Linked DNA regions of Arabidopsis thaliana. The protein of the gene in region 4 interacts with the protein of the main gene of each other region in a pairwise test. Each region holds a gene or a part of one and is shown on either strand. Other genes may lie near its edges. The genes, in order: AT5G48385, UBC18, UBC29 and LUL3.

Region 1 (5,676 bases), about 13 Mb from region 4:
CGGAGGCGAGATCGAATTTCTTGAGACTGTGATAAACAAGACCGGTCTTATAGTAGAATAGAGAGGACTTAATCGTCGGAGATGGAACACCGGTAACGTCCTTAGCGAGAAAAAGCATATCGGCGGCAACATGTCTGAGATTCGCAATGTTCTCGGCGGAGGTTAAAGAGGATTGGAGAGAGGCGGCGTTAGCGAGATCAACACAAGCATTCCAGAGGCGAAAGCTGAGTTTCCATATGGTAAGCTTGAAGGAGTTATCGGGAAAAGGAGCAAGTTGACTCAGCCGAGTTAGGAATTGTCTAAGAGAAATAGGGAGAGATTGAGGTAGCGGCTGATCTTTGGAAATGGCTTCAGATTGTTGGATTAAGAGCTCGATCTCGGAGAGAAGAGGATGGTGAGTGTGTGAATCGGTTTCCCGGTGATGTAACCGGAGGTCCGGCGTGGTGATCTCGGCGATTCTCATTTCGATTGTTGGCGGGAGATTTCAGAGAGAGAATTGGGAATTTCGAAGGACCGAGTCTGAGAGAATAAGATATTTTCGAAATTCAAATTAGGGTTAGTATTGTAATTTACACCTCCTGTGTAGGTTAAGGAAAAATAATAAAATACAACATTAAAGATATAATAATTAATAAGAAAATCTGAGTATTTTTTTGTTTTTTGTTTTGAGTAGGGTTGATCCTTAAAAATACTAAAACCATCCGTACACAACAACAACATCAAAGGGAAAGAGAACTAAGGAGAGGAGTTAAAAAAGAGCTGCCACAAGTTAACACCAAAGGGGAGTCACAGTCACAGTCACATTTTACCATTCACCTTTTTTTATCACTAGTGAAAGTAAGGAGGAGGAGGAGGAGCCTGGTACTGATAGCAGTTCGCGTAGAAGTTCCCATGTGCAGGAGCAGGATTGAACGTGTAAGTCTGAGGAGGAGGAGGTGGTGGAGGTTGTGCTGCCATGATTGGACCGCTAAGGAACGGTCTGTTGTCATAGACATACTGCGGATACCTTTCAGGGATGACTCTACCGTATCCTGTCTTGTTGTTGTTGATGTTGTTGTTGTTGTCAGTGACTCGGGGTTGAGCACCACGTGGTCGTTTTGGCTGAGGTTTCATGGGTTCTGTTGCTCTCTTTTTGTCCGCTTTGGCTTTCTCGAGCTGGAGAATCCGTTTGTGAAGTGGCTCAACTGGGTACTGCTCTTCCAGGCTATGCTCTTCGATACACTTTATAACGGTTTTGAGGCCTATAAGCTCCCGCTCATTGAACTCATCCTGCATTGGTACACACATAATAATGTACAACAATATGAGACTGATCCTGCATCAGCAAGTACTATGATATACGCCTAAAGTAATTGATAATGAAAGCATCGGTTTTCAGTTTCAAATGGTGTTAGAAGTCTGGAGTAAAATATGACAGCTAACTGAACAGAGCTCAGGAATGTTCCAGCGAGGTAAGATTTACTTTTTCAAATAGCCAGATGCTCGAGAAAAGGTAACGAGTTCAATAAAAGATAAGATCACTCGTTCTAGGCAAAATGCATTAATATAGCCCTTCATTTTCACCAACAAGGTAATCTATAACTGCAAGTTATCAAGTCAGGGAACACTTGCCTGAACAGCAGGAGATGCATTGCCAGGTCTGCCTTGGGGGGAAGATCGCCTTGCCTCTATCAAGTAAGATTTCAGTAATGAGACAGGTGAGAACTGTTCTGTGAGTTCAAACGCAAATGCCAAGTTAACCGCATCAATCTGTTTTCCACTGTTCACGAGAACTTCAATCACACCTGGAATAAAAGGAGCAGTGCACATTAAAGATAAGATCAAGGGATAAGGTAGAGAATCTGGGTGTAAACTAAACAAGGAAAAACACAGATATCCACCATGTTTAGGCCCTTGACCAGAGACCCTATCACTCACTAAATAGTTACTATCAAACATCAACTTTCCTATCGAAATGTCATAACCTGTAAGATAATCAGCCATATACTAAAAGTTAAGAGAACAAACCAGGCATTTTTTCAGCTAATCCAAGTGAACGGCAGAGCTCAGCTGCCTGACGGCGACGTGAAACCATGGGGATCAGCTTTAAGAGTTCATCTTCTTTAAAATCAGCAACAATAGCAAAAGTGGCCAGCAGTTGCAGGAATGCATGAGCCTCCAAAGAATTACCATTGCAAGCATCCATGTCAAGAGATTCCAGCAGTGGATTCCATCCTTCTGCAATAGTTTTGGCTCTATGCTTAACATTTTGTGAGAGAACAACAGCAAGGCAGTTGCGGTCCAGACCAGATAACAGTATGCTAAGGCACTCCATCAACATGATACAGGTTCTGCGCATGCCCAAGAGGTTAGCGTCTTTTTTTCCATCAGCAGTTGGTGCCTCCATAGGGTAAAACCCTTCCAAAGAGTCCAACACTAAGCTGGCTGGGTTTGCTGCAGCCCTGAACGCCATAGGAATCTCCTCCTTTAGTGATGCAAGGTTCTTGCGGTTATCTGATACAAACTTATGGAGACCCGTTGAGTCCATATCCCCGCACAGTTTCAGTAACTGTGGATAAGCCTTCACCTCATAATTTCCCATCACAGGTGAGATCTGAACATCTTGCACAATACCATCCGGATTATCATCGGTAATACTATCAGCAGCAAAGACATTGGATGAATCCTCTACAGCATTTTGTGGCCAACGTTCACCAACAGAAGGTTTACTGACAGGAGCGTTGTTATACTTATCCAAAGCACTGTTTATAGTAAACATAGCTGCGTCTCTCTTCTTCTGAAGCCTTTCAAGCGCCGCCTTCTCCTTAGCCTCAACAGCTGCCTTCTTTTTCTCCAACAGTTCTTGAGCTTTCCTTGTTTTGGTTTCATACTCTTTTTCTTGATCTTCAAGCTCATGAAACCTTCTCTTCAAAGACCTCTCAAGCCCATGAAAATGCTCCTCAAGTTCCTTCCACTTCAGATTAAGTGTTACAGCACGCTGACTTTCAAGTTCAGCAAACGCCTTCTGAAGCTGCTGAATCTTGGATGATGTAGAGTCCATGAGTGAAGCAACTGACCGAGTATCCTCCATCACAAAAGAGCCTAAATAAAACGGAAATTTAAGTAATGATTAAAAAGTCCCGAACAAATAAAAACAAACATGAGTACAACGACATTAGAGGCCAGACACAATATTGTTACCAATTCAAACAAGTCCAATCTCCAAGCTGCGAATAGAGAGCTCCACGAAATCTCGATCCTTGAACAACAAACAACTACAAAAAAAAAAATCATCAAGAACAGATAAACAAAGATCAGTCAAAACTATCCAATGACAATATCACTCGTTAAAGATAAAAACAAATTAGCTCTGTAACAAGACCGTACAAGTCATAGTGGACAACTATGTAAGAAAATGGCCTACAAGGCAAGTAAAGACAAATGAACAAGAAACCCCCAAAAAAATGAATCCATTCAAGAAAAATTCACACTATTTTTTAGTCACAAAGATAATTCAACCTCAAGAACTAATCAGACGTACTTATAAAAAAATTAGCTGAAATAATACAAATACAGATTAAGAGAAGAGTAGATGACGAAATGAGAGTAGAAACAAGCAAGCTGATTCAGTGATTCTATGAAATCCCAGCTTAATCCATCACATAAACAAACTTCACGACCAAAATTCAAGGTCATAGCAGAAATTTTGAGCTATATTGTGGAGAAATCAACAAACCCTAGCTACAGTGAAGAGAACACGAACATGAACTCAAAACAAAAAAAAAGTATATACCTCAAGAGAAGATAAAAAAAAAGCAACTTTACCAGGAAAATCAAACGAAGTAAAAACCCGTAAGAAGAAGAGATCAAAAAACTTCAAGAAGGACCACATGATCGTAGATCCATGGTGAAGAGCGATCGAGAGAAATCGAGGTTAGGCAGAGAGAGAGAGAGAGAGAAGAGGAAAGTGAAATCCCTAAAAAGGAAAGAGGAAAGTAGAAGAGAGGCAAAATAAAAGGAAGCAAAGCGATTTATAACAGACACTTTATTAAGCACACCCAATTTTACTTAGTTGGCACGTGAGAGAGACTGGTGTGGTTTAATGGCTCGTTCTTCACTATCATATCTGGTTCGGACCAGACAGCTTATGTGGCTCTAGTCAAACCCTTTAAAGTTTGCGTCACGTGAGTTTGTCTGAAACTGCCGGGAACTTGTAATTTACTCTTTCCTCCTTTTTTTCTATTAATTGGTATATTCACCATCTATGTGTATCAATCACTCTTTAAATTCCTTAACTTTTTTTACCAAACACCCAATCTTTTTAACCTGTTGACGAAGCTTTGGCTTCATGCTTAAGGCTATGTTATAATGGGGAAAAAACTAGATTGCACAATCTTTCATAGACTGATATTCTTCATCGGATGTTTCGATCATATAAATTGTCTCCAAGGATGAAACTATGTGTCTAATTTTTTTGAATGCAAAATTTATATATGATTGTTTTCTTAATAAGAGCAACAATGAAAATATAGTTTGGTTATACATTGGTATTTGTCAAAGAGGAAAGACTAAACCAAGAGTAAATAAATCTTACAACTTCCCAAATTGTTGGAATTCTACAATTGTATTATATATGGTGAATGATTTGGTACAAAACATTACAAATATCAAATGAATTTCGAAGTTGGTTCAGGTCACGAATGGCGGATTTGGCTTGGGAGAGACTAGAGGTTGTGATTCGTGGTTTATCTCCTCTCTAAAATCGTTATGTTACAAACTGACTATCAAGGATAATCATATCAATCAAGATAATGAAGAGAATCAATATCGTCAATCACGTTAATTGCTCATAATCATTGTATACAATATTAAGTTTCCTTCAGTAGCTTTCTAGTCTTTGTATATAAACACTCTGTAATCATCTTGTTTCATATATTCGATATACTCTTAGTCTACATGGTATTAGAGTCTCTGTATATAAACACTCTGTAAAATTTCTAAAATCGTTATGTTACAAACTGACAATACATAAACAACACGAATTAACATTTTGGGGTGTTTGCTGAACCGTGGTTGGCGGGTACATCTGCTAAATGAACAAGCTTTTTATATATATATATATATATATAACTGTCAACCCATAATTTAAAGATTCCAACAACAACAAAATAAGTACTACTCCTAATAAGTATTTAAATATGTGACATGATATTCAATTTTTGTGATACAAATTATTATGCATTGGTATTTGTCAAAAACTAATACCAAGAAAACATTTCTTGTAAATGTCATATTCCATTCTTTGATTTGGTCAAAACACCAAAACCATTTACAAAATATCCAGAATTATCTAAAAACGAATGAAAAGCGAAAAATACCAAATGGAAGAAAAATTTGTCCATCTCCTAACAAACAAGATAATATATATGATGATGTTGAAAAGTCAAAAAGAGAAGAAAGAAAAAAAAAACATTTAACGCGCAAAGACCGATTTGGTTTTTGTTGGGAGTCATTGCGTTCTCATCATCAGTGTCTCTCTTTTCTTTGCCCCATTCTTCACGAACTTTCACTAGACGACGACGACGATCCAAAGTCCCAGTCAACTCACTCACAAAGACGACTCCTTTATTAAATTATTCCCAACTCCTTTCTTCATCATCATCATCATCATCATTCATAACCACTTAGCCACAGATG
Region 2 (4,548 bases), about 11 Mb from region 4:
AACGTGAGTTTCCTTCATCAATCTTACACTATCCCAATATCCAAACTTAGGGATTTTTGACTTCTCTGAGCCTTTATCTTGCTTGTTATGTTGTTGTGCAGACTGTTGCTGAGGAGTTTAAAGTTCAGGCAATGCCAACGTTTATCTTCATGAAAGAAGGAGAGATCAAGGAGACTGTGGTTGGTGCTGCTAAAGAAGAAATCATTGCCAATCTCGAGAAGCACAAGACAGTTGTTGCTGCTGCTTGATTTGCTTTTCTCTCTTACCTATTTTGCTAAAATATGTTTGGTGTTTTAATAAATCCTTTGTTCGCCCGAGTCTTTTCACCTTAAATGTGCTCTTATGTGTGGTGGTGAATAAATGTTGTTGCAAACTTGATTACTCGCAGCTATGCTAATTGTTCGTTCATGGTTATGTTTACTCTTTGGGGATTCTATTGTTATGTTAGTTTTTCAATTTTCAATTACATTACACCAACTAGTTATCAATCCAATTACATTGCCAAATACAATTTCGTTTTGCCTAAACTCTCCATGGTTTTTCACTTCAGAAAGGACAAAAGCACAAGGTGTTAATTCAGACACTGAAACATTTCAGATGTCATTTATACATAATGATCCGTTACAGAAAAAAAAGTGGGAGGCCATGAGGAATTTCAATTAGTATTATCAGTCTTGGGAAATTATATAAACCTCTTTTGTAACTGAAAGGAGAGACATCTTACGGTCGTCATCATTAAACCTTGTCGTCATGGAACCACCACCTTGTCTCTTTAGGAGACCTCCCGTTCTTGCAGTTCTTCACATATCGATCGTTATCAGTCGGGCGTTGCTGATATTGTCATCGACAATAAGACATAGTAAGAGTTGTGTGGCAGGGTCAAAAAGTTTGAATTTGTGACAACAATACAAAGTGTGAGAGATCAAATGTAGAAACCTTTTCGGGGGAACTTGATAGCATTGAGAGGATGCTGATGCAGACTGAACTCACTGTCATTGCTGGAGACCATGAGTCATACAGAATATCTACAAAAAGGAATTAGAGAGTGTGTTATATTAAGCGCATAATCCTAATGGACTTTCTCCTAAAATGAGGCCGGGTATAATCGTGATTATGTATTGTAACAAATGGTTCAGTTCCACCACGATTTCATTAGACCGGATTTAGATGCATTGAGAACAGATTTAAGAAATTTACATAAAACTTTCATGTTCTTATTGTTTAGTGAAAACAGCAAAACTAAAATGTGTTATTTGATTTTAACTCAAATGGGAGTTTCAAGTTATTTGATCAACATTCCAAAGGGAGTTTCAATATAACTAGAAATTGAGAGGCTGTTATAATCATGGATCAGATTCTGATTTTGCTAAAGAATTCACCATAGAGTCCAAAAGGGACGGTATTGGTTTTCTTTATGGCGTTGATAACACATTCACACCTAATTTCATGTCATGCGACGCTAGTATTAGGAACTCTTTAAGAATGAGACAGACTGAGAAAAAGGTTAAGACTGGTAACAATGTTGATATAATATATTAGGACTCTTAAGGGTATTGTTACTAACATTGCTTCTCTTTTCGCTACATTACATTCCGTGAACAAGAACAACCTATATATGTAAGTATCAAACAGATAAACTAATTTGATTGACACACACATGACTTGAGCTAGCATTTCAGAGAAACCAAAAAGTAAGAGCAAATGCAAAGAGTAAGTAGTGTAGAAACAATGAGTAAAATTACCTAAACAAATATGTCCATTGCTGTAAATATGAGGATGTAACGGTGCTGGTGGAACAAAAATCACCTGATCAAAAACCAAACACATGAAAATCAGAACACAGCACAAAACCAAGTAGAGAAAATGTCACTATATCTCAAACTAATTCTCTGACCTAAAACATGCAATACAACCATAAAAACACTCTGGTTTCAGTTAATTAATCCACAATTAAGAAATTTGAAATAAACCCTTAATCAAAAACAACAAATTTTTCAGAACAAAACCAACACAATGAAAAACTTGCCTGAGGAGCTTCCATAGGATAATGTTGAGGAAACTCAACCTGAAGATTATAAGTTTCATTAGCGTAAAGCGTACCAGGTGCTCCTGTTACCTCAATTACCCATCTTTAAATCACACAAAAACAAAAAAAACAATCAAAAATCGAAATGATAAATAATCAAAAAAAGGAAAGATTTTGAAATGAAAATTACTTTTGAAGATTATCAGTAACTCTGTGCTTAAACCCAGTCGGTGGATTTACTTGCCACTCTGATAACTCCTTTTGTAACCTATTACACGCGATCTTGCTTAACGCCTACACAAATCTCAAAAATTCAAAAAATCACAATCGGAGAATCAAAAAACACATAAGAAGACAAGAGTGAGAGAATCTAAGAACCTTGCGTGAAGGAGATGAAGAGCTTGTCATGGCGGAGACAAAGAGAGAGAGAGAGAGAGACGAAGACAGAGAGGTCTTGCTTAAGCTTTTGTCTGGATCTTTCTTCTTCTACTCGAATATTATTATTATTGAAAATGAAATCAAAAAGTGTAAACAAAAGGAAATAAAAATATTTTTCGGGGTGAGGAAAGGGCACACGTGAAAGAGTCAAAATTACAAAATTAACCATTTTCATCGGACGGCTATTAATCTTCCTTCGTGTTCACACGTGTCGTTTATCCTTCACTGACTCCACGGGACATTGAAGAGTCGATTTTATTTATAGATTTTTTTTTGTAACAAAGATTCTCTTACATTGTAGCTACCAAAGTCGTACGATCATAAGTACATAAGTTTTTAAGACAAAGTACATTACATTAAACATACGTCTCCATCTATATAATGTTTCAGCTTTCATTCTATAGTAGGCTTCTAATAGTTTATGGGTCATCATTTGGCCCAACATGAATAGCCACTTCTTGCTCTAGCTCAATACCATCTAGTGGGTCTTGAAGAGGCTCAACGTGAACTACCGTTTCTTGTTGTAGGTCAATACCATCTAATGGACATTGATGAGGTGCAATAATACAATCTTGTGACTCTTGATCTAGCACAATATCATCTTGAAGGTTTTGGTCTTTTCCATCTGATGGGTCATTAAGAGCCCCGATACAGTTTTGTGACTCTTGGTCCGGTCCAAGAACCCGATTGGTTTCTTGTGGGACGAGTTCTTGCTCTAGCTCAATACCATCTAGTGGCTCTTGAAGAGGCTCAACATGAACAACCATTCCTTGTTCAAGCTCAATACCATTTAATGGACCATTAAGAGGCTCAATAGAATTTCCAGACTCTTGATCCGGTCCAAGAACTCGATAGGCTTCTTGTGGGACGAGTTCGAGTCCGGCTGCGAAAAGCGGGAGCAAGACTAGATAATGTTTATGAGAAACGTAAGAGATCGTGGAACCGATGACGTGGACAATGCATAACATCAAAAGATATGCGTTTAATGTGTGCCAATAGAGGCTCCCATCGTTTGTGTAAAGCCAAAACACTCGGCCGCATCTTTGTATTTTCACTTCTTCCTCGATCAAACTTTGGATAAGATCGAGCAAAGTGAAGATTAATGTGTCGCAAGCACATACGATACCGAATATTTTGGCTAGATCTTTCTCCTTGTCGAGTAATTCTAAGACGAAGCAAAGAAACTCAACGAGGAATGCAATAGCAGAATGTGGTCGTAGACTTTGCCTAAAAACAACGAGTTTAATGACGGGAGTTAGGATCGCCATTTTCAAAATTATTACTATGTGATTAGAAAGCTCAAAATATACTATGGTATGAGGAGCTTTGAGTGAAGAACTTCGTACGGGGTGCTTTTTATAAAGACATGAAGTGGTTATTAATGAATGATTAGGGAGACAAAAGTCAAAAGTTAAGCTTGGAAAATTCCGTGCTAATCATAAAGATCTTCACTTTTCATTGCATAGGGAATCAAATAAACGTTTTAATATTTTTATGTTTGAGATCATTGCAAGTAAACTCTAGAGTAATAGATCAACTCTCTAATCATTTTAAGTGTATGATACAACGAATCCTAGCTGTTTGATGATTTACGACGTTCATGATTTCGGCATGTTAATTTTCTTTTTGAAAAAGTTGTCCTAGCTAATTTAATCCTAATCTTATTTTTATTTTTTTACGGTAATTCTATTCTTATTGCGCTAGAAAAAAATCGAAAATATCATTACTTAATTAATTTTATGTTTTTATAATAAAGGTACATCATGAGTGAGACAATTTTTTTTCCTAAAGTTAGTATATATAAAAGTTTGCAAATTGTTTTTATTTATAAAATATTTATATTTTATAGTTTACAATTGTTATTAAGTAAGATACCGTCAAACACGTCCCACTCAAAAATTATTTTATTAATGTTGATCTTATTTATGATATGATTTTGAATCATCCCCTAAACATGTTAGCTTTTTTTTTTCTTTTTCTTGTCATCAGATTTAAACATTTTAGCTTAAATCCATATATTTTTCGTTTATCAATTAATATATGTCCGTTTTCAAAATTTCGAATCACAATATATGTAGAAAAAA
Region 3 (3,605 bases), on a different chromosome or scaffold from region 4:
CTTTTTATCGACCGATTTCGTCTTCTTCTCTTTGTCATCGCTTGAGAGAGCTCCAGAGAAGGAGAGGAGAATCACGAGAACGGCTAGTAAAAGCCATGAATGATCAGAAGAATGTATTTTCATTTGACTATCTTCTTCTTCTTCTTCTTCTTCTTGAGGATTTTTAAATTTAAACAAGAATCCACCTAAAGGGATATCTTCCTTGTCAGAGAAATAAAAACTTTAGAGAAAGAAAATGAAATAAGAGAATGTTTCGCAGAGAACATAAGGTTTCAGAGAAATTCACGTATTCTCAATTTGAGATTCCACATTTTGTTTGTAAATAAAACTTCCAATAACTCTCCCTTTTATTTCCTTATTTCCTCCTTTCATTTTGTTTTCGTTGAATTTTCTAATTTTAAGGTTTTTGGTTGAAGAGCCTAATTTGGCGGGTATACACACAATGACTTCTCTCAATCACCACCAAAAAGAAATGTGAGCCAATGCTTATGTTGAGAAGGTGCGTATTACACCAAAAAAAAATGGTTCATACGAAACCAATGATTTTATTTTATTTTATTATGTTCATTATAAACACCACTTTTGGTTCTTCTTTAATTGTGGAAATGTGGATTAAATCCATGAGAGATCTAACAAAAATTTGTGTAACCTGTTATCTAGTTATTATTCTTTGTCTACAAGTTGAGTAAATTTTTTTGCTGTAATTTGGATTATCATCGTTTAAACCTTTAGCTTATTTCTAACTTTAAATATCATAACGGCAAAAATTGTAAAAGCTTTGGTATGCTTCTTTTACGTAAAATACATAAATGTGTTGACCGTGTGGTTGAAGATTGAAAGCAAAGCAAACAACATTTGTTACAAAAAAAATGGCTATTTTTTTAAGTAATCAATTAATCGTCTTTTAAAAAATCGAGACCAACTATTGTTGAGAATTATTTTCCTCCCGTAATCACCATCATAAAATATCGGTTGGGCAAATCACGTAGCATGCATGTACATTAACTTTGGACTAACAGCTGTGGAGTTTCTTCTTATAGCAATATTCAAAAGACCTAATAAGTCTGAAATAAACAGAGGCTTGAAGGTTATACTTAGATTGAAAGGCAATGATTTACATTTACATATATAGGTTGATCAATGACGATCTCTACGATATGTTGTGATATAAATCTTTAAAATAAGGAAATAATATATGCATCACTGATTTGTGGAGTGTTCCTCACTCGACGCCACTCTGATTTGTAAATTTTTTATTGTAAAATTTTAAAGTATGTAAATAGGGCCTATAATTTTTTTTCCTAATGATACATGGGCCTATAATCTTAAGAAACTTTTGAAATGGGTCCTATAAGTTTTCAATAACTATTTTACCTCATCAAATGTATGTTATGATTTATGATTATATTTGTTGAACATGATGCTCATCACCCATCACTTTGCTGGTCCAGTGAACGTGGACAATAAGATTAAGAACAAAGGATATTGTAATAACCATTCTTTATGTTAAGTTATTCTGATTCTCAGACTTTATCAAATCCCATTATAGACCGTTCAATAGATATGGTATATTACAGTAAGCATGTACGTAAGACCATCCACTTCAAGGCACGTCTCTCTTTCAGAATCAGAACAAAAGAATGGATCTTTCTCCATTACCTTTATGGGCAAAGCGGGCGGCTAAAAAGAGACTTTACAATGGTAAATCTTTACTTAAACAATGATAAATGCAATAGTGCAAGCATTCCTGTTTGCAAGAGAATCACAAATCTTTGCTTACGGTTCACGCTTTAAAAACACAACTCTCATTCTCCTTCTCTTCACAAACCACTCATATTTTTTTTCACATACTTCTTTGTAGTGCTACTTTCCATTATATCAAACACTCAGCAACCTGATGGCAACGAGACGGATATTGAAAGAATTGAAGGAGTTGCAAAGAGACCCTCCTGTATCATGCAGTGCAGGTAAAGGATCACAATTTGTTCTTAATACAATATAAGCCATGTATCAGAAATTTTTTCTAAAGATTTTGATATTTCCTTTCTCCTTGGTTTGGGATTTTTAGGTCCAACAGGAGAAGATATGTTCCACTGGCAAGCTACTATAATGGGTCCGAATGAAAGTCCTTACTCCGGAGGTGTTTTCCTTGTCAATATTCATTTCCCTCCTGATTATCCTTTTAAACCTCCCAAGGTAACAACTTTCTCAACAATTTTTTTGTTTTTTAATCTACTTCTTAAATCCAATAACCAAAAGGCACAAAACCAACATTAAATATTGGATCGTTTATGATCTTTTGGAACCTTAAGTTTTGATCTTTATTTTCAATCTTTTTCTTCTTCTTTACTCTTGTTGTTATGTTTGTTTGATAAAATCAGGTTGTATTCAGAACCAAAGTGTTTCACCCAAACATCAACAGTAATGGAAACATATGTTTGGACATTCTCAAAGACCAATGGAGCCCTGCCCTTACCATTTCTAAGGTTTGAAATTCTATATATGTATTTAGTTATTTGTCAATATTTTCTATAATTCCATATATCAGATTTGGTATATAACCAAGAAGCTCCAATAGGTAACACAAATTACTAACATTTTGGTATTATAGGTGCTTCTCTCTATATGCTCTCTTCTAACAGATCCAAACCCTGACGACCCTCTGGTGCCAGAGATAGCTCACATATACAAAACTGACAAGACCAAATATGAAGCCATGGCTCGAAGCTGGACCCAGAAGTATGCCTTGTTTTAAAGCTCACAATTCCTCTTTTTTTCCTTTTTATTTTGGTTTGGTCTTATTTGTAATAAAAAAAGAAGAAGAAGAAATTGTTATAATTTTAATACAAACATATATAATATATAAAGTAGAGTTTTCAAAGTTGTTAACTCATATGATTGATGAGATATCGACATGTATTAAATCTAATTTTGTTAATATATAAAAAATCTTCTAACCCTATCGGGAAAATAAAATATATACATAAATCACAAAAATTATTTATATAATCAAAAAATTTAATTATATTTTATATAATAAAATAATTCATATTATTAGCGAATTTGTTTTTTTTAAAGGACCGTTCAAATATGTTTTTTTGTGTATTTTGTCGAAATTTTTGTTATTTTTCTTTTTATTTTGTTAAAATAACTCTAAAATATAGATTTCAAACAACACATAAAATAGTGAGATGCATAGATAAAGGTTATAATGGGAAAACTCAATAGTATCAAAGATAAATGAGAATTAATTATAGTCATGTTTGTGTAAAAAATTTAGGACAAGTTACTAATATTTAAAGTTTAAGCCTAGTTATTTAGTAAACAACAAAAATAACTTACGTTATCTAACGATATTTTTGGAGAATAGATAGATTGAAATAAGAGTTAGAACACTAAATATTGAAAACGTGTGTGGGTTACTATTTAAAATTTAAATATCATAAAGAATTAAAACACGAAGATGAAATATGTAGAAATATTTTTTCAGCTCTTATCCATTAAAATGAAATATATAGAATTAAAATTCAGTATATTTTCATGAAATATATAGTTAAATTATTGCAAAATAGAATGGATAAAATTAAATTTTGGTTTTAAAATAT
Region 4 (4,830 bases):
AATGTGTATGGAGAAATAATATTGCTTGTAAAGAGAGTCACTTCACTACTATCAAACAAAGACTTTTTTTTATTCCTCATTTCAAAAGTTTGAGCATTCTGTCAAAAAGAATGAACTCAAGCTTCACTTTTTTTTTAAAACTTTTTTCTTTCTCAGGCTTAACTTCAATAGGAAACATTCTCCATCTCCTACCAGCTTTTCCTTTTATTTGAGCCTTTTTTACAGACAAAAAGCAAAAAGGAGAGAAGAAAAAAAGATTACTTCTTTGAATGTTCTCATCAACTTCAGTTCCCATCTCTCTTTATTTTCTTTTGAATCTTTGTAATTATCAAGGTCCCCATTTTCTCATCTACACAAACTTTTACTTTCTCAAAAAGAAAGAGTTAAAAGAAAGCCAAATTAGGGACACATAGAGCTATCCAAGACTCTTGCAGATTTTTCCTGTCTATTTTTGATATAGAATTGTGGTTACTAGGAGGTTCGGTTTCTAGATTATAAACCCGAAACGTTACGATAAACAACATATGATTGCAAGTTATATTTGAGCAATGCCCAAACCAAAAAGTATTCAGTTACAGAATGAGTGTTTCAAGTAGAAAGATACAAAGAGAAAGTTTCTCAAGAACCATTGGAGCTATATATACATTACTGACTTTTTTTTCTTTGAGTTTCCCAAAACTAAGACCAACAAATATGTGCAAGAGTATGACATGAGAAAACACATTTGTATAAGAAAAAAGGGCAAAAGAATTCGATTTGACGGTTTTCAAAAAGAAGAAGAAGAAAGAATCAAACATGGTGTTTAAGTGAAGGGAAGAAACCTCTTTTTCAGTGTTGTTCATCACTACTTTCCACTTTAATCTTTACAAGCTCATGGATAGGTTGTCTACAAATGGGACATTTGTTTGTCTGAAACCTCAGTTCTTCTGCGCAATCACTGCACAAACACTGCAACAGACAACACAACATGATTTAGTCTTGATGACAATTCAACCAAAAAGTTATGGTCTTGTGAAAGACTTGATGTAGATTTGCTTTAGAGACAATCAACAGCAATATGAAGCAAGTCTAAAATGACAGAATTTGCTTGTTCCATAACTGAAACGCTACCAACGATTTATAGGTTTACCGAGTAAATGAAAAAAATTGCGTTTAGAAGAATTGAAGAAAGCAAAGAGAATTGCTAGAAGTTTGTACCAAATGTCTACAAGGCATGACGGCTGTGTCCTTAGGTTCAGTCAAGCAAATGACACATTCTTTGCCACCAGTATCCTCTAACCCCGATGCAGCAGTACCTTGTGTGATTGAATTATCGATTCCATACAACTCTTGTAGTTCATATCGTTCTCCTTCAATCCATAGAATCTGTTTCATGACTTTCACTTTGAAAGATCCATCATTAGTCTTCTCCAAAACCGCTTGAGTGATCTGCTTATGAACTAATGGTTCCTCTGAAACCGAGCTTGGTGATATTACTGTCTCGGCTGATATTACAAGTGGGTACACCTCTTCTGGTGATGGTTTCGATAGATCATCCAGTGAAAAGAAGCCTAGGTCGATTCCTGTCCCTGGAGCTTGTAGAAACTTCTGCCCGGCACCTTTTTGGAAAGGGACTTTGATTGGTGGGAAAGCTTCTGGTAAATGAGGGACGATTGTGCACTTTGATTCCTCTTCTCCAAAAAATATGATAGTGAAACTGAAAATGAGACAAGTAACATAATGAGACTCCTCGTCAGATAATCTTAATACCTAAACTTGGTATGCAACACAGGAGAGTAATAAGGTTGATTCAGTTGCTAACTAGCTTAGTAGTTCCGAACCATTAAATGAACTACAATAACTCCTAAAATCAATCAGTTATGTAACTGAAGCCTGTATTGTTTGGTTTCTGAACCAATCACATATTCATCACCTAGATCATGTCAAATTTTAACCTTTTTCATCCCAAATTGTGGCAACACATAATTCAGAACTGAAACATGAGTAAAGATGTTTCCTTTTAATCAATCTCGTCCCAGCAAAAACCCTAACTTTCACTGAATAAATGAGTCATATCATGTAAAGTTTGAACCTTTACGATCCAAATTTGAGATTCAGTATAATCTACAAGACCCCTCTACGCTAATTAGCCAATCTCATTCAAATTCTGGTTCTAAAGTCGGAAACTTGACTCAAATTTTGGAGTGAAGAAGTTATACCTGCCATCGAATAAGGCATCGAAGACGAAGGAAACAAGATAATGACCAGGGTTAAGATCGTCAGCTACGAGCCTCACCGTAGCTTTATTCACATTGACATCGTTCTTAACCTTCTTAGCGGTCTGATGCTCCACATAAGGTGCAGGCGGTTCCATAACCGCAACCGGAGTCGGACCGAAATAAACCGGCCTCATCATCGGATTAAACCCATTGTGATGATAACCGGTGAAATACGGAGGAGCTTGTTGCGGGTAGTATTGGTTTTGATGGTAGTTTTGACCGTACGGTCGGTAACTAATCTGCGACGGAGGAGGCTGAGAAGAAGACGGTGGCTGAGCCGGTGGTGGAGGAAGAGAGAGCTGTGGAGTTGAAACGGGGTAATTGTGAGAGTAGCTATACCCGTTTTGAGGCGGCGGTTGTTGTGGTGGAGGATCGGAGTAATAGTACGGCGGATTGTGGTGGGGATGGTGGTGGTTGTTGTTGTTGTCTCGTCGACGCTTGCTTAAGGAGATCCCCATAGCCTCTGAAGAAACGAGACAAGAGAGACAGAGAGACGAAAGTCAGATCAAAAGATTTGTCTTCCGGTGAAGATTATTATTTACATTATTTTTACTTTACGCAGTTACTGCCAGATTTACTGCAATTTTTGTAATAAAAGTCAACGCGTGTAACTTTTTTTTTAATCGGATGTTCCCGAAGACATGACCGTCTAACGAAAGAGACAAGACCGTTTCTTCTTGTTCAAATCTAGAAAACACACATACATGACGTTTTTCGAATAGCATTATTGATAGAGAAAAACTATGAAAAATCAACTAATACCTTATGAATTTCAAACGTGGTGTTTTATAGTTGACCACATATATCAACAAGTTCTTAACTTTGAATATTATGTTAGTAAATTATATTCAGATCATTTATAAAAGTTTACAAGTTTTCATCTTAATTTTGGTTTTCTTCCAATTATGTTATTAAGATGAGATTTTAAATAGTCCAAAATAGTTGAGCCAATATCATAAAAGCTAATTTTGGTTATGAATATACCCATATATTCAATTGATGGGTTCAATTTATGCATAACAGATTCTGTGTATAATAAATATACCTTTAGTCGTATTCAACAATCTTCATTGAATATTGGTTTAGGAGATTTTTAAGATACCTGTAACATTTTTAGGTCATAGATATGTTTAGAATGCTTGTGAATGTCAACAAAATATCTGATTAGCTGGAGCAATTAGAAACTCAAACCAAAATCCATTTAGTTTCTTTTTATTCATCCAATATTTTAAATCTCTGTGAACTAATAATTACATCTCAAAGTTACTAAGAAAAATAACTTTTTAAAAATAATTTTTAATCTATGTTATTATTATACAAACCAAGAAAACTAAGCTTTGTATGTTAAAATAAAGATTATACAAAGTAAGTATTCATCATCTTAATTTTAATGACTATGGTTTACTTGGTCTTGAGGTTGTTGTGCATCTATCTTTATCAAGAGAGGCTCATTTAAATCCGTCGAAGCATCATCAGTAACGGTCAGCTCCGGCAAGGCTGCAACCGCTTCGTTCATGTCTCCTCCGTGCTCTGCTAAAGCTTTTCTTAGAGCGTCCTTCGCCACCTTTGTAACACACACCATTAATATCACTGCAAAGAAACAGATAGAAGAAGGAACTTGTAACATTAGTGATTCTGCCGCAATCGAAGGAACTAGTAACATTAGTTATGCCGAACTAACCGGATATTACAAGGCTCGAAATCAAGAACGCCTGCAGATTGCGGAAAACAGGTCAGAATAGAGATTGAAACAAGAAGCTGAGAATGTAATTAAAATTTGTGTAGATCTTACCCAGCGACCTGGCGAGAACTCGCTCCACTTGTGAGTTACATCAGAAAGGTCTTTTAGAGTTGTTCCAACATACACTAACGCAAGTGTTATTGGCTGCAAATTAACAATGTATCAAGCTGTATTATTTCCATCTTACAATTTAAACATTTTGCAGTCGTTATGAAGTGGTGGATTAGAATAGATTACCATCATCCCTAACCACGAAGAAAGCAAGTATGGACCTAGCCGAATTGGCGTGACAGATAAGAGGTAGTTCAACATGCTGAACGGAAGAAGAGGAGCAAGCCGGAGCAACAAGCATATCTATATTCAGTTTTGCATATTCATAAGTTTCAAAAGAAGAGTGTCAGCACAAAACTTGTAATGGGTTCTCAGTGCAAACCTTGAAGCCGGATTTCTCTATCGCGAGTGCCACTGATTGAAACTGAGGATAATCCTTTAATTTTGCAACTACAAAAGGTTTTCCAATCTGCATAAGAGCATTTTCATGTAAGTACCAAAATATCAAAAAAGGATAGCGTCAGTGGTTTATGCATGTCACTTCATTAATCTAATGGTTGTGTCTGCAAATCAATAAGAATTTGAGTGGCTTACCGTACGGCCTAGTAGAAATGCAGCTCCTGAGCCAAGTGTAGCACCGACTGAGTCCGCCACAAAACCAATTGGCAGCCCAAAAAGGTAGCCACCACCGAGCTGAATATATCACAGCTTCAACCAAATAAGATTTCTCAATTTTATAGATAAACCAGTCACTCTAACAAAGAAAGTTGAGAGTGGATG

The links.
Region 1: the proteins of LUL3 (region 4) and AT5G48385 interact in a two-hybrid assay, tested with the Arabidopsis thaliana proteins (one large-scale study listed by BioGRID).
Region 2: the proteins of LUL3 (region 4) and UBC18 interact in a two-hybrid assay, tested with the Arabidopsis thaliana proteins (one large-scale study listed by BioGRID).
Region 3: the proteins of LUL3 (region 4) and UBC29 interact in a two-hybrid assay, tested with the Arabidopsis thaliana proteins (one large-scale study listed by BioGRID).

Annotation. Positions count from the first base shown.
Region 1 is NC_003076.8:19,606,865-19,612,540, reverse strand, and holds AT5G48385 (FRIGIDA-like protein), read right to left. Parts: upstream 4,052-5,676; 5' UTR 3,805-4,051; intron 3,255-3,804; 5' UTR 3,181-3,254; intron 3,082-3,180; 5' UTR 3,071-3,081; coding exon 2,008-3,070; intron 1,785-2,007; coding exon 1,612-1,784; intron 1,270-1,611; coding exon 829-1,269; 3' UTR 534-828; downstream 1-533. Other genes in the region: AtSPO22 (Tetratricopeptide repeat (TPR)-like superfamily protein), read right to left, coding at 1-463.
Region 2 is NC_003076.8:17,243,471-17,248,018, forward strand, and holds UBC18 (ubiquitin-conjugating enzyme 18), read right to left. Parts: upstream 2,519-4,548; 5' UTR 2,435-2,518; coding exon 2,405-2,434; intron 2,321-2,404; coding exon 2,217-2,320; intron 2,130-2,216; coding exon 2,027-2,129; intron 1,807-2,026; coding exon 1,743-1,806; intron 1,026-1,742; coding exon 937-1,025; intron 832-936; coding exon 736-831; 3' UTR 517-735; downstream 1-516. Other genes in the region: TRX3 (thioredoxin 3), read left to right, coding at 1-3, 102-248; AT5G43000 (uncharacterized protein), read right to left, coding at 2,884-3,732. UniProt on the Arabidopsis thaliana protein: Accepts the ubiquitin from the E1 complex and catalyzes its covalent attachment to other proteins.
Region 3 is NC_003071.7:7,265,983-7,269,587, forward strand, and holds UBC29 (ubiquitin-conjugating enzyme 29), read left to right. Parts: upstream 1-1,739; 5' UTR 1,740-1,897; coding exon 1,898-1,967; intron 1,968-2,068; coding exon 2,069-2,196; intron 2,197-2,381; coding exon 2,382-2,486; intron 2,487-2,611; coding exon 2,612-2,755; 3' UTR 2,756-3,073; downstream 3,074-3,605. Other genes in the region: AT2G16730 (glycosyl hydrolase family 35 protein), read right to left, coding at 1-123. UniProt on the Arabidopsis thaliana protein: Accepts the ubiquitin from the E1 complex and catalyzes its covalent attachment to other proteins.
Region 4 is NC_003076.8:6,376,286-6,381,115, reverse strand, and holds LUL3 (RING/U-box superfamily protein), read right to left. Parts: upstream 2,968-4,830; 5' UTR 2,717-2,967; coding exon 2,199-2,716; intron 1,697-2,198; coding exon 1,198-1,696; intron 949-1,197; coding exon 829-948; 3' UTR 511-828; downstream 1-510. Other genes in the region: AT5G19070 (SNARE associated Golgi protein family), read right to left, coding at 3,646-3,848, 3,940-3,970, 4,051-4,143, 4,237-4,353, 4,433-4,519, 4,645-4,743. UniProt on the Arabidopsis thaliana protein: Acts as an E3 ubiquitin-protein ligase, or as part of E3 complex, which accepts ubiquitin from specific E2 ubiquitin-conjugating enzymes and then transfers it to substrates (in vitro).